Linked DNA regions of Oryzias latipes. The protein of the gene in region 2 purifies or fractionates together with the protein of the main gene of each other region. This does not show direct contact. Links are inferred from orthologs where the notes say so. Each region holds a gene or a part of one and is shown on either strand. Other genes may lie near its edges.

Region 1 (3,816 bases), on a different chromosome or scaffold from region 2:
TAAATCAGGAGCAGACAACAAAATACTGTTTGAAAAATATTGTATTTGTTACGTAGAAAATACGACTGATGGAGCTCCCTGCTCTGCTCCTTTCTGATGCATCCACTTTTAGACAAATAGATCCATGTACGTCTTTGTTTTCCTCCTCTGAGCTGGAATCTGGATCTAAACTGCACGGATGGATAGCTCTGATATTGCTCACCATTTTTGTTCTACCGCTAATGTTTGCGTGGGGTTGTAAGGGGAACACTTTGAAAATAAATCAAAAGATGATCGGAGTGGAACTACAGAGTGAAACTCCCACTTTTGTTCTCAAACCAGATACAAAGCAGGAAGGACCAAATCCTGCAGTTCCTCCCAAGACCACTGAAGGCTGGTGTCAGAAAGGAGCAATTCTCCATTGACTCCCATGTTAAAGCTTCAGATTTTAAAGCAAAAACAAAACATATAAATAGCCTGGTGTTGAAAACTTTTTTTGTAATTCCAAATAGTCCCTATGTATCCTTTAAAAAGCAGGTTTCATGGTGCCTTTGGTCCCTCTGCTGCTCTCTATCACCTTATGTGGAAGCAAACAGGGAATGTAAACAGTTAAACCAAAACCACCCAAAAGAATGAATGAACAGATTTTAGCCACTTGAAAGCGCAAAGATGGGTCCCACAGAACTAATGTTTGATTATCAGATCTGGTCATGCCAACACTAGTTAAGTTATTTTTTCTCAACTAAAGACCTTTTTGTATTTAGACATTTTTTCTTTAGATTAAAAAATATATATATACGGCAGCCTCGGGAGCCAGTTTTTCCACACAAGGGTAAAACATCTCAACACGGCAAAGGTCCAGTCAAAGGAGGCTACTGAAGATCCCTGTGGTGATGCTGTCAATAAGTGAGCATGTATGGTCTGTGGAGCTGCTGGCAACTAATGACTTCTCAGGTTCACCTTCAGAAAAGCTGTTCCTTTCTATAAATCAAATAAAGTGGTCTTTAACTTGACTGTATTAAAATACTGGATGTCTTCGCATGATAAGAACATTTTATAAAATATAATCAATCATTTAAGGCACAATTTTTCAAGGAGAATAAAATTATTTCCATGCTGAACCAAAAAAGTACAAACCGGAGCAAAGAAATCCACCAGCCAGGGTTCCTTCCTGTCAGAGGGGAAGTTGTCCGGCCTCAGGGTCGTCACATGGGCACGAACGCTGTCCTTTGCAAAGGCTGCGATGTTGTACAACACATCTTTACCTGCAAGAAGACACAATGTCACAAAAATACACACGTCACAAAAACAGGCAGAGAGGGCAAAGGTACAGATGAGCGTTGAACTATCGTAGAAAATATGCTGGGCTCCGTGCTCCACTCCATTCTGATGCATCCACTTGCAGACAAACAGATCCACGAACGTCTTTGTTTTCCTCGTCTGAGCTGGAATCTGGTACTAAACTAGATAGCTCCAATATTGCTCGTCATTTTTGCGGCACCAGTAATGTTAGGTTGGGGGTGTGAGGGGCTGTAAACTAGACCTAGACAGGAAGTGGGAGTAGGCTTAGTCCATGCTAATGTTCCCGGGAATGCTTTGTAAATAGATCAAAAGAGGATCGGAGTGGAACTTTAATTCTGCAGGAATAAAAAGATCCGGCAGGTGAAGCGTAGACAGATGCAAGACAGAGAAGATCCAGTACTGACCATGGTGGATCTCAAAGTCGTGGATCCCCAGACCTTTGAAAACAGCCACACAGGGTTTGTGGATGTAGAGAGAATGACACAACTCTGAGTCGGCGACACAGTCCACTCTGCCGATCTGGACACAGAAAAACAGTCTGTTAGCAGGAAAACAGCCAAAAACGTGGAGTGGGACAGACGGACTGAAGGTACCTGTATGTGGTCATTTCGCAGAAACGCTTGGAGCTTCTTGTACTCATTTGTGGTGGAACTTCTGTCTCTAAATGTGAAGCTGATTAGCCAGCGGTGATGGGCCAGTTTCTCCTGCACATGAACATATTTAAACATGTATTTTTAAGCTAACCTAGACACGTGTGCTAAAGCAGTGGTAATCTGAGAGATTTCGTTTTTTTTTGAGTACCTCAAAACTCTCTGCAGTCAGCAGCTTCAGATCTGGTAGATGGTTTAGGACCTGGTTGTAGATCTCTTTACTGTCGAGAGTCTTGATCCACTGAAGCACATAAACAGAGGCAGAGCTGCAGCGATAGAAAATACACTTCTGCAGTACTTCACTGGTTCAGGTCTTACCAGTACACTGCCTTCTTTATCCAGAGAGCTTCCAGGGGGGAAAAAGGCTGTCGCTCCACTCACCACCTCAAGGAGGAGGATTAATGTTAAATACCAGCACTGCACAATGCACCAACACAATATGAAACTTATCAACAAGCAGAACAATTAATGGGACAAATGAGAGAAATCTGATGTCAAAGCAAAGAAGCAGTTTGCAGATGATGATGTGGTTTATTTGACCTTTAAGCAGAGCATAAACAGAGCTCTAAACAATCAAATATTCCTGAAAGGAAACAAGTTTTTGACAGTTACCTGGAAACTGTCACAGAGCTGTGGCTGTACGGTGCAGTCTATCCATCCCATCTTCACCAGACCTTCCTTCATGCAGACACACATGGATCAAATTAATCAGATAAGATCAGTTTCTTAACCACTGTCTAAAGAATCCTGATGTTTTCAGACTCTCTGCCACTTATCTAAAGATAATACACAGATTGAGGACACATGCTTCTCTGCGCATCAAGACCGTCTTTGACTTAATGTTGTAAACTAGCAGAAGAAAAATGAGGCAAGTGTTGTTCTAAGGCCTTGGTGTTTTATTCCAGTTCTTGCTCTTTGACCTCAACTGGTTCCTTATAGCAACTGGCTGCTCTACTGAGTCTGGTTCTGCTGTAGGCTTGTCTCTATTCATCCATTTAGAGCGAGTTTCTCCTTATAGATGCCCAGTAGCCTCCCAAAATGCTTTCATTTAATCTGTTGGTTGTTAACATAGGCCATCATTAGAGTTCTAATAGTTTGGCTGCACTGGAATCATCTGGATCAATTTGGAATTGCGTTCTTTCAACTAAACTGGATGGGAAGAATTCTCACCAGCATTCCTGCCAGCTTCTGTCTTGTTCTTGGCTCCAGACAATCTTAGAGACAAACACATGAGGAACACAAAAAAACATTAAAATGACATTAAAAAATTTTAAAAACAACAACTATATGGTAAACGTGTGTCTCATGACACCAGGTGAGCACAGACGCTAAACTTTCCACTGGGAGCTGTGAAGAGTTTGTGGCAGACTGATGTTTACCTCCTGTGTCAGAGCAGAAGGTGATCAGCCAGCCCAGCCCTGACAAAAACGACTTCTCAATCTCAGTGAAGACGTTCCCTGAAAAGGTGAAGATCTAGTCACAAACACTTCATTACAAAGAAAAAGATTTTTAAAAAGTGGATCTCAGCTGAGGTTGTAAGGGTCACAGTCGTATCTCACCCTGCCAGAGCTGAGTGACGGTGGTGGTGATGAACTGCATGGCAAAACCAACCAGATCGTCTCTGGTGCGCTCTCCATTAAACTTCTCTGGTCTCTGCAGAAGCAAAAGTAGTTATTGATAATTTACGACAGAACATCGCTGTGGCTGCAAAATCCAGTTCAAAACTTGAGGAAAATGTGGTTTACAGGCTACGACTTCTAAGTCATGGCAAAGAGAAAGACGGGAACACCTTAGAAACCCAAAGTATGGGGCTTCTAGTGGTGGAAATGCCATATAATGTTCATGAGACGGAGTGAAAAACAAGATTATTGGTGGTAAATGCTGT
Region 2 (4,459 bases):
TATTTTTCTCTTGATTTTCTCTTAGATGTATGGAGCTTAAAGCTTTTTCACTGATAAGCTACAACTGACTTCAAAATGTATGCATTGACCAAACATGCTAAACCCATAAAATGAGTGAAATGAAAGCCTGGCTGCATGAACTTGTATTAAACATACTAACGCCTGAACGTCACCTTTGAAACAGATCTGCTGAGGTGATCTTGAGCCTCAGACGTTAACGTCTGTTTCCAAATGCTGTTTCTAGTCTTTCGCAAAAGAGTCAGATGAGATAACGGCTCAATCCTGCCGGAGCCTTAAAGCGGAACTTCTCTGGAAAAAAACAAGTACAAAAACAAGTTGAAAAGTGTTTTTAAAAAACAAAACTTGCACAGGTGTGTTGGTTTATGGCTCCAGGGCAAACAGTCAGTAAAAAATAAAGGAGATAGACCATGTTTCATAGTTTACTGTGCAGGAAGAAAAAGGTAATTCGTCTCACTGAAAAGCACAGAAAAATGAAGCCCATCGCTGAACAATCTTGATTTCTTGAAGTATTGTCATTCATTACAACTGTCATCATTGAATCAAGGTTTATCTTTGATACTTAGTTTATAGACCAAGGTGAGGCGTGTGCACAAGCTGCTTTACATCCTGCTGAATCTACAGTCAGAGGGACAATTAAACTCATGAGACAAAATGGAAAGAGACTTTGTCCTCAAAACAATACAGCCCTAAACAGAGCGGCACACTCCTGTAATTCCTCTAAATCTTTTTTTTCCTCTTTTCTGTGAAATAGAAAGTGAAAACAAATCATTGAAGTCTTTTCTTGGTTAACGTTTTCTTGTAATGATTTACAACAGATGGATTGAGCCGAATTGAATTCCTAGAAGCAAAAAATAGAAAACAGGCAATTTCTTCTGAAGGATTGTAAAGTCCTACTCTAATGATATTTTTATCTACTTTAGAAGCGATCTCAAGCTCCAAGGCCTCTGATAGAGGACCCGGGCTTGGGTGAGAAACCACCCGCGGAGGGTGAGGGGGCATGACTTTTTATCCAAATCTATTAATAACCATATATCTTTGTTTTCCTAATGAGTTTTGAAGAATACTGTAAGGTGATGCAGGGTCCAGTTTGAAACTGAGAACCAGAATCGTCCGCTTGTGTCTTGGTTTTATTTTAGGTAAATAGGCCAGCGAGTCAGCGATGTTAACCTACATGTTGACATTCGGATAAACTGCAGAAAAAAAGACAGAAATAAGACATGAATGCTTAAAAATAATCTTCAAATGTGTTCCTTTGGTCATTTTTAAATTACCGTTTTGTCGCTTAAATAATAGTTCATTAGTGTTTGCTGCTGCAGAATGTTGCACTATTGGAGTTGGAGAGGATTGTTTTAAATCAACTGTTTGAAACACAAAATCTTACAAGTAAGACTTCAAACAAAACAGGTGACAGAAAAGCAAATATTCTTTTTATATCCACACCGCACTGACTGCAACCTTAAATTAACCAGAGAGCTTCACTTTCACTGAGCTCTCCTGCTGACTGAAGAGTCAGTTCACACAACAACAGAAATGAACCATTCGTCCAGACCATTGAACTCTTATGGAACTAAATGAGATGAAGTTGTGCAGCCACACAAACACCCATCAGGGTTTGTCGCTGGGACAATAACTCTGAAACGCCTTTCAAATAAGTGCACTACAATGCACAGTGGCTGTGATCACATGCCTCATGTCCGACAACAAGAAACGAACAAACAAAAGCATCAAATCCTCACGTTCTGTCTTTAATATAAGGCCAAGATAAAATCAAACCATTTTTCTTACTAAACTGAATCAACTCAACATCACTGCACTACATAAGAATGGAACCTTTATTTTGAAAGCCTCCCACTGTCAATCATTAACAAACTAAGAGCTGATGCAGTTTTATTCTACAGCTGTCCAACCGCCTGCAGCTTAAGACTGAATGATTTCCTGTGACTGAAGAACTCTGGGTGTGTTTGGCACACCTGCCACGGCTATTCAGGTGTGATTACACATGAGGATTGTAACTCCAGCCACAGCAAAGTGCTACACAATGAGGGAAGAACTGAACCCAGATTCCATTTTTTTTTTTCTTCTACACAGGAAGGCAGTCATTTTGCCTGCACCGGCGGCCACATTATTTGTTAATCAGCTCTGCGATCAATTAAGCTCCCACAAAAAGGCTGAGAGCCGGGCAGCCAGCCATGGTGACATTCTGTGGACACAGCTGACCAGATCCCTGGGACACTCGACCTCCTGCTGCACTTCCTGCTTCTGCCTCAGAAAAGCTCTGTCCAAAAGGAATCTGCCACCAATGTCATCACAGTTTCTTCCACCTTTCTGAAGGCAGAATTTATTATTTTATTAGTCTTTTTTTTATTTTATATTTCATATATCTAATACATTTTTATGAATGCCAAGAATTTAACTTGTTATACAAACAAACCTGACATGAATCTCTATGAATCTCACCTTTCACATATTTGGTGAATAATACAATCAGGTAGGCTAAATAACAATAGCGCCCACTACAGGGTGAAACAAAGATTTTTCCATTCTGTATTCATTCTTTTACAACAATGACAAGATGATTAGAAACAAGTACTCCTTTTTCTTTAGGAATTTAGAGTGGGATTAAATAAATGTCACAAGCTCTGAGTTTTGTCAAGGTCACCATGGAGCCCAGACACGGGGCAGGGAGCCACATCAGCGGTGCAACATCTGTTACCTGCAGCCCAGAACTTCCTCTGATGCAGAAACATGTGGGAATCTGCAGCCACATGCAACAAATGTGCAGCCCTGCTGAGAAAAGAATACGTGAGATAATGACTGCTGCTGCCTTCCTGCTCAGAATGAGGAATTGCTCAAAAAAAATTCTGCAATAAAAGAAGTTGATTTTCTTGTTTTTGTGTAGTTTCATAGAATCTTTTGTGTAACGTCTTGATAATCTTGGTCATCTATCCTACAAGTAGCAGTTCAGACTACTGACAGACCTCCCACTCTTAGCGTTAGATGACATCACAGACAGGATTCAGTTCATATAGAATGAACACATGAAGGACTTTAGCTTGTGTGCCATTTTTGTCGCACCGCTAATGACTGGTTGGGGGGTGTGAGGGGCTGTAAGCTAGTGGGACATCATGTAAACTGTGAGCTCTCAGCAACGGGTGGGGGTGGGGGTTTCGTGCCAAGAGTCTCACCCACAACTCAGAGGCTAATTTCTAACAAAGCACACAGGTTTTTATTTTTTATTTTTAAACGGTATAATTAAAAGACTAGTGAGAATACTATGGAAATAGATCAAAAGATGATTGGAGTGGGACTATAAGCACAAAGCAGAGAAGATCAAAGATGAACAAGTTCAAAAATTCTAATCGCGTCAATAAATGAGAAGAAATAAATGTTTCTGTGATGGAGATGTTTGAAGTTATGGGAACTGTGGACACAATAACAGGAGAATACAACCAAAAAGGATAATATTTTATAATAAGTTACTGTATGATCAAATCCGATGTTCTAATTGAAACTAATAAAATTGAACTGTATTCCCTTGAACAACATCAATATAGTTTTGAAATTCAAACTCGTCTCCAAGACTTTGAGTCGAGTTTAAACTTGCAGCAACATTTTCTGGGAAAAAAAACCCAAACTTGCCGTTTTACTCATTGGGCGTTTCCATAACAAAGCCTCTGGTTCAACACACAAAGACCTGAAAAGCGCTCTTATCACATGACCTGAAATGCTCGTGCCCCTTCAGCTCTTAACCAGATAAAAACTGCAATCTACAGCAAAATAAACATTAACATTTACAATCCCCACTAGTAGTGGAGTTGGCTTACCATGCTGCCAGCCAGTGCTTTAAGGAGTGACTCGGGGCGCTCCTCTTCAGATCCCTCCTTCTCCTCCTGTCGACTGGACTCGGCCGTGCCAAGAATGGATCCTATCAAAATAAAAACACACCACCTTCAGATGAGCGTAGGTGGTTTAGGGGTGTGTATGACACTGTAAAAAAGCTATAAAAAAAATCAAAGTACAGCATTCACAATGATAGAAAGAATTGATTAAAAAAATACACAGCCTCTAATGTAATATTTGATTTTAGAAACACACGTCAAACCCCTTCCAGCAGACATTTTCAGGGAGAGCTCTGAATGAATGAGGTCAAATTGGAGCAAAAACCCTGCACATGTGTGGTCCTGCTAGCGTATGCGCAGGAACGTGCCAGACGTGTACTCTGACACCACTAAAGAAAGGCTGGAACACACCAGCTGACATGACTGCAGCTGAAGCAGCCTCAAAACTCCTGGACAGATTACTACAGGCAGGCGGAAGACTCAAAGACATGTCTCCAAAGACCAGAAGATCTGGTTACACAGTCCCACCATCAAAGTGTGTTATGACGTTTCTACTAACTAAGCCTGTAATTCTACTTTTCTGTGCAAGAATCTCTAAA

What was found.
Region 1: the proteins of mtmr4 (region 2) and dnajc10 purify together in Homo sapiens (affinity purification with mass spectrometry; 3 studies listed by BioGRID and IntAct, counting the BioPlex papers as one, with this or other methods). This does not show direct contact. The link is inferred for Oryzias latipes from reciprocal best matches to the Homo sapiens genes MTMR4 and DNAJC10.

The regions. Positions count from the first base shown.
Region 1 is NC_019879.2:12,097,547-12,101,362, forward strand, and holds part of dnajc10 (dnaJ homolog subfamily C member 10), read right to left. Parts: intron 3,585-3,816; coding exon 3,491-3,584; intron 3,389-3,490; coding exon 3,311-3,388; intron 3,146-3,310; coding exon 3,102-3,145; intron 2,610-3,101; coding exon 2,544-2,609; intron 2,316-2,543; coding exon 2,250-2,315; intron 2,173-2,249; coding exon 2,083-2,172; intron 1,986-2,082; coding exon 1,875-1,985; intron 1,801-1,874; coding exon 1,686-1,800; intron 1,245-1,685; coding exon 1,117-1,244; intron 1-1,116. UniProt on the Homo sapiens protein: Endoplasmic reticulum disulfide reductase involved both in the correct folding of proteins and degradation of misfolded proteins.
Region 2 is NC_019872.2:20,553,632-20,558,090, reverse strand, and holds the start of mtmr4 (myotubularin-related protein 4), read right to left. Parts: upstream 2,804-4,459; 5' UTR 2,789-2,803; coding exon 2,735-2,788; intron 1-2,734. UniProt on the Homo sapiens protein: Lipid phosphatase that specifically dephosphorylates the D-3 position of phosphatidylinositol 3-phosphate and phosphatidylinositol 3,5-bisphosphate, generating phosphatidylinositol and phosphatidylinositol 5-phosphate.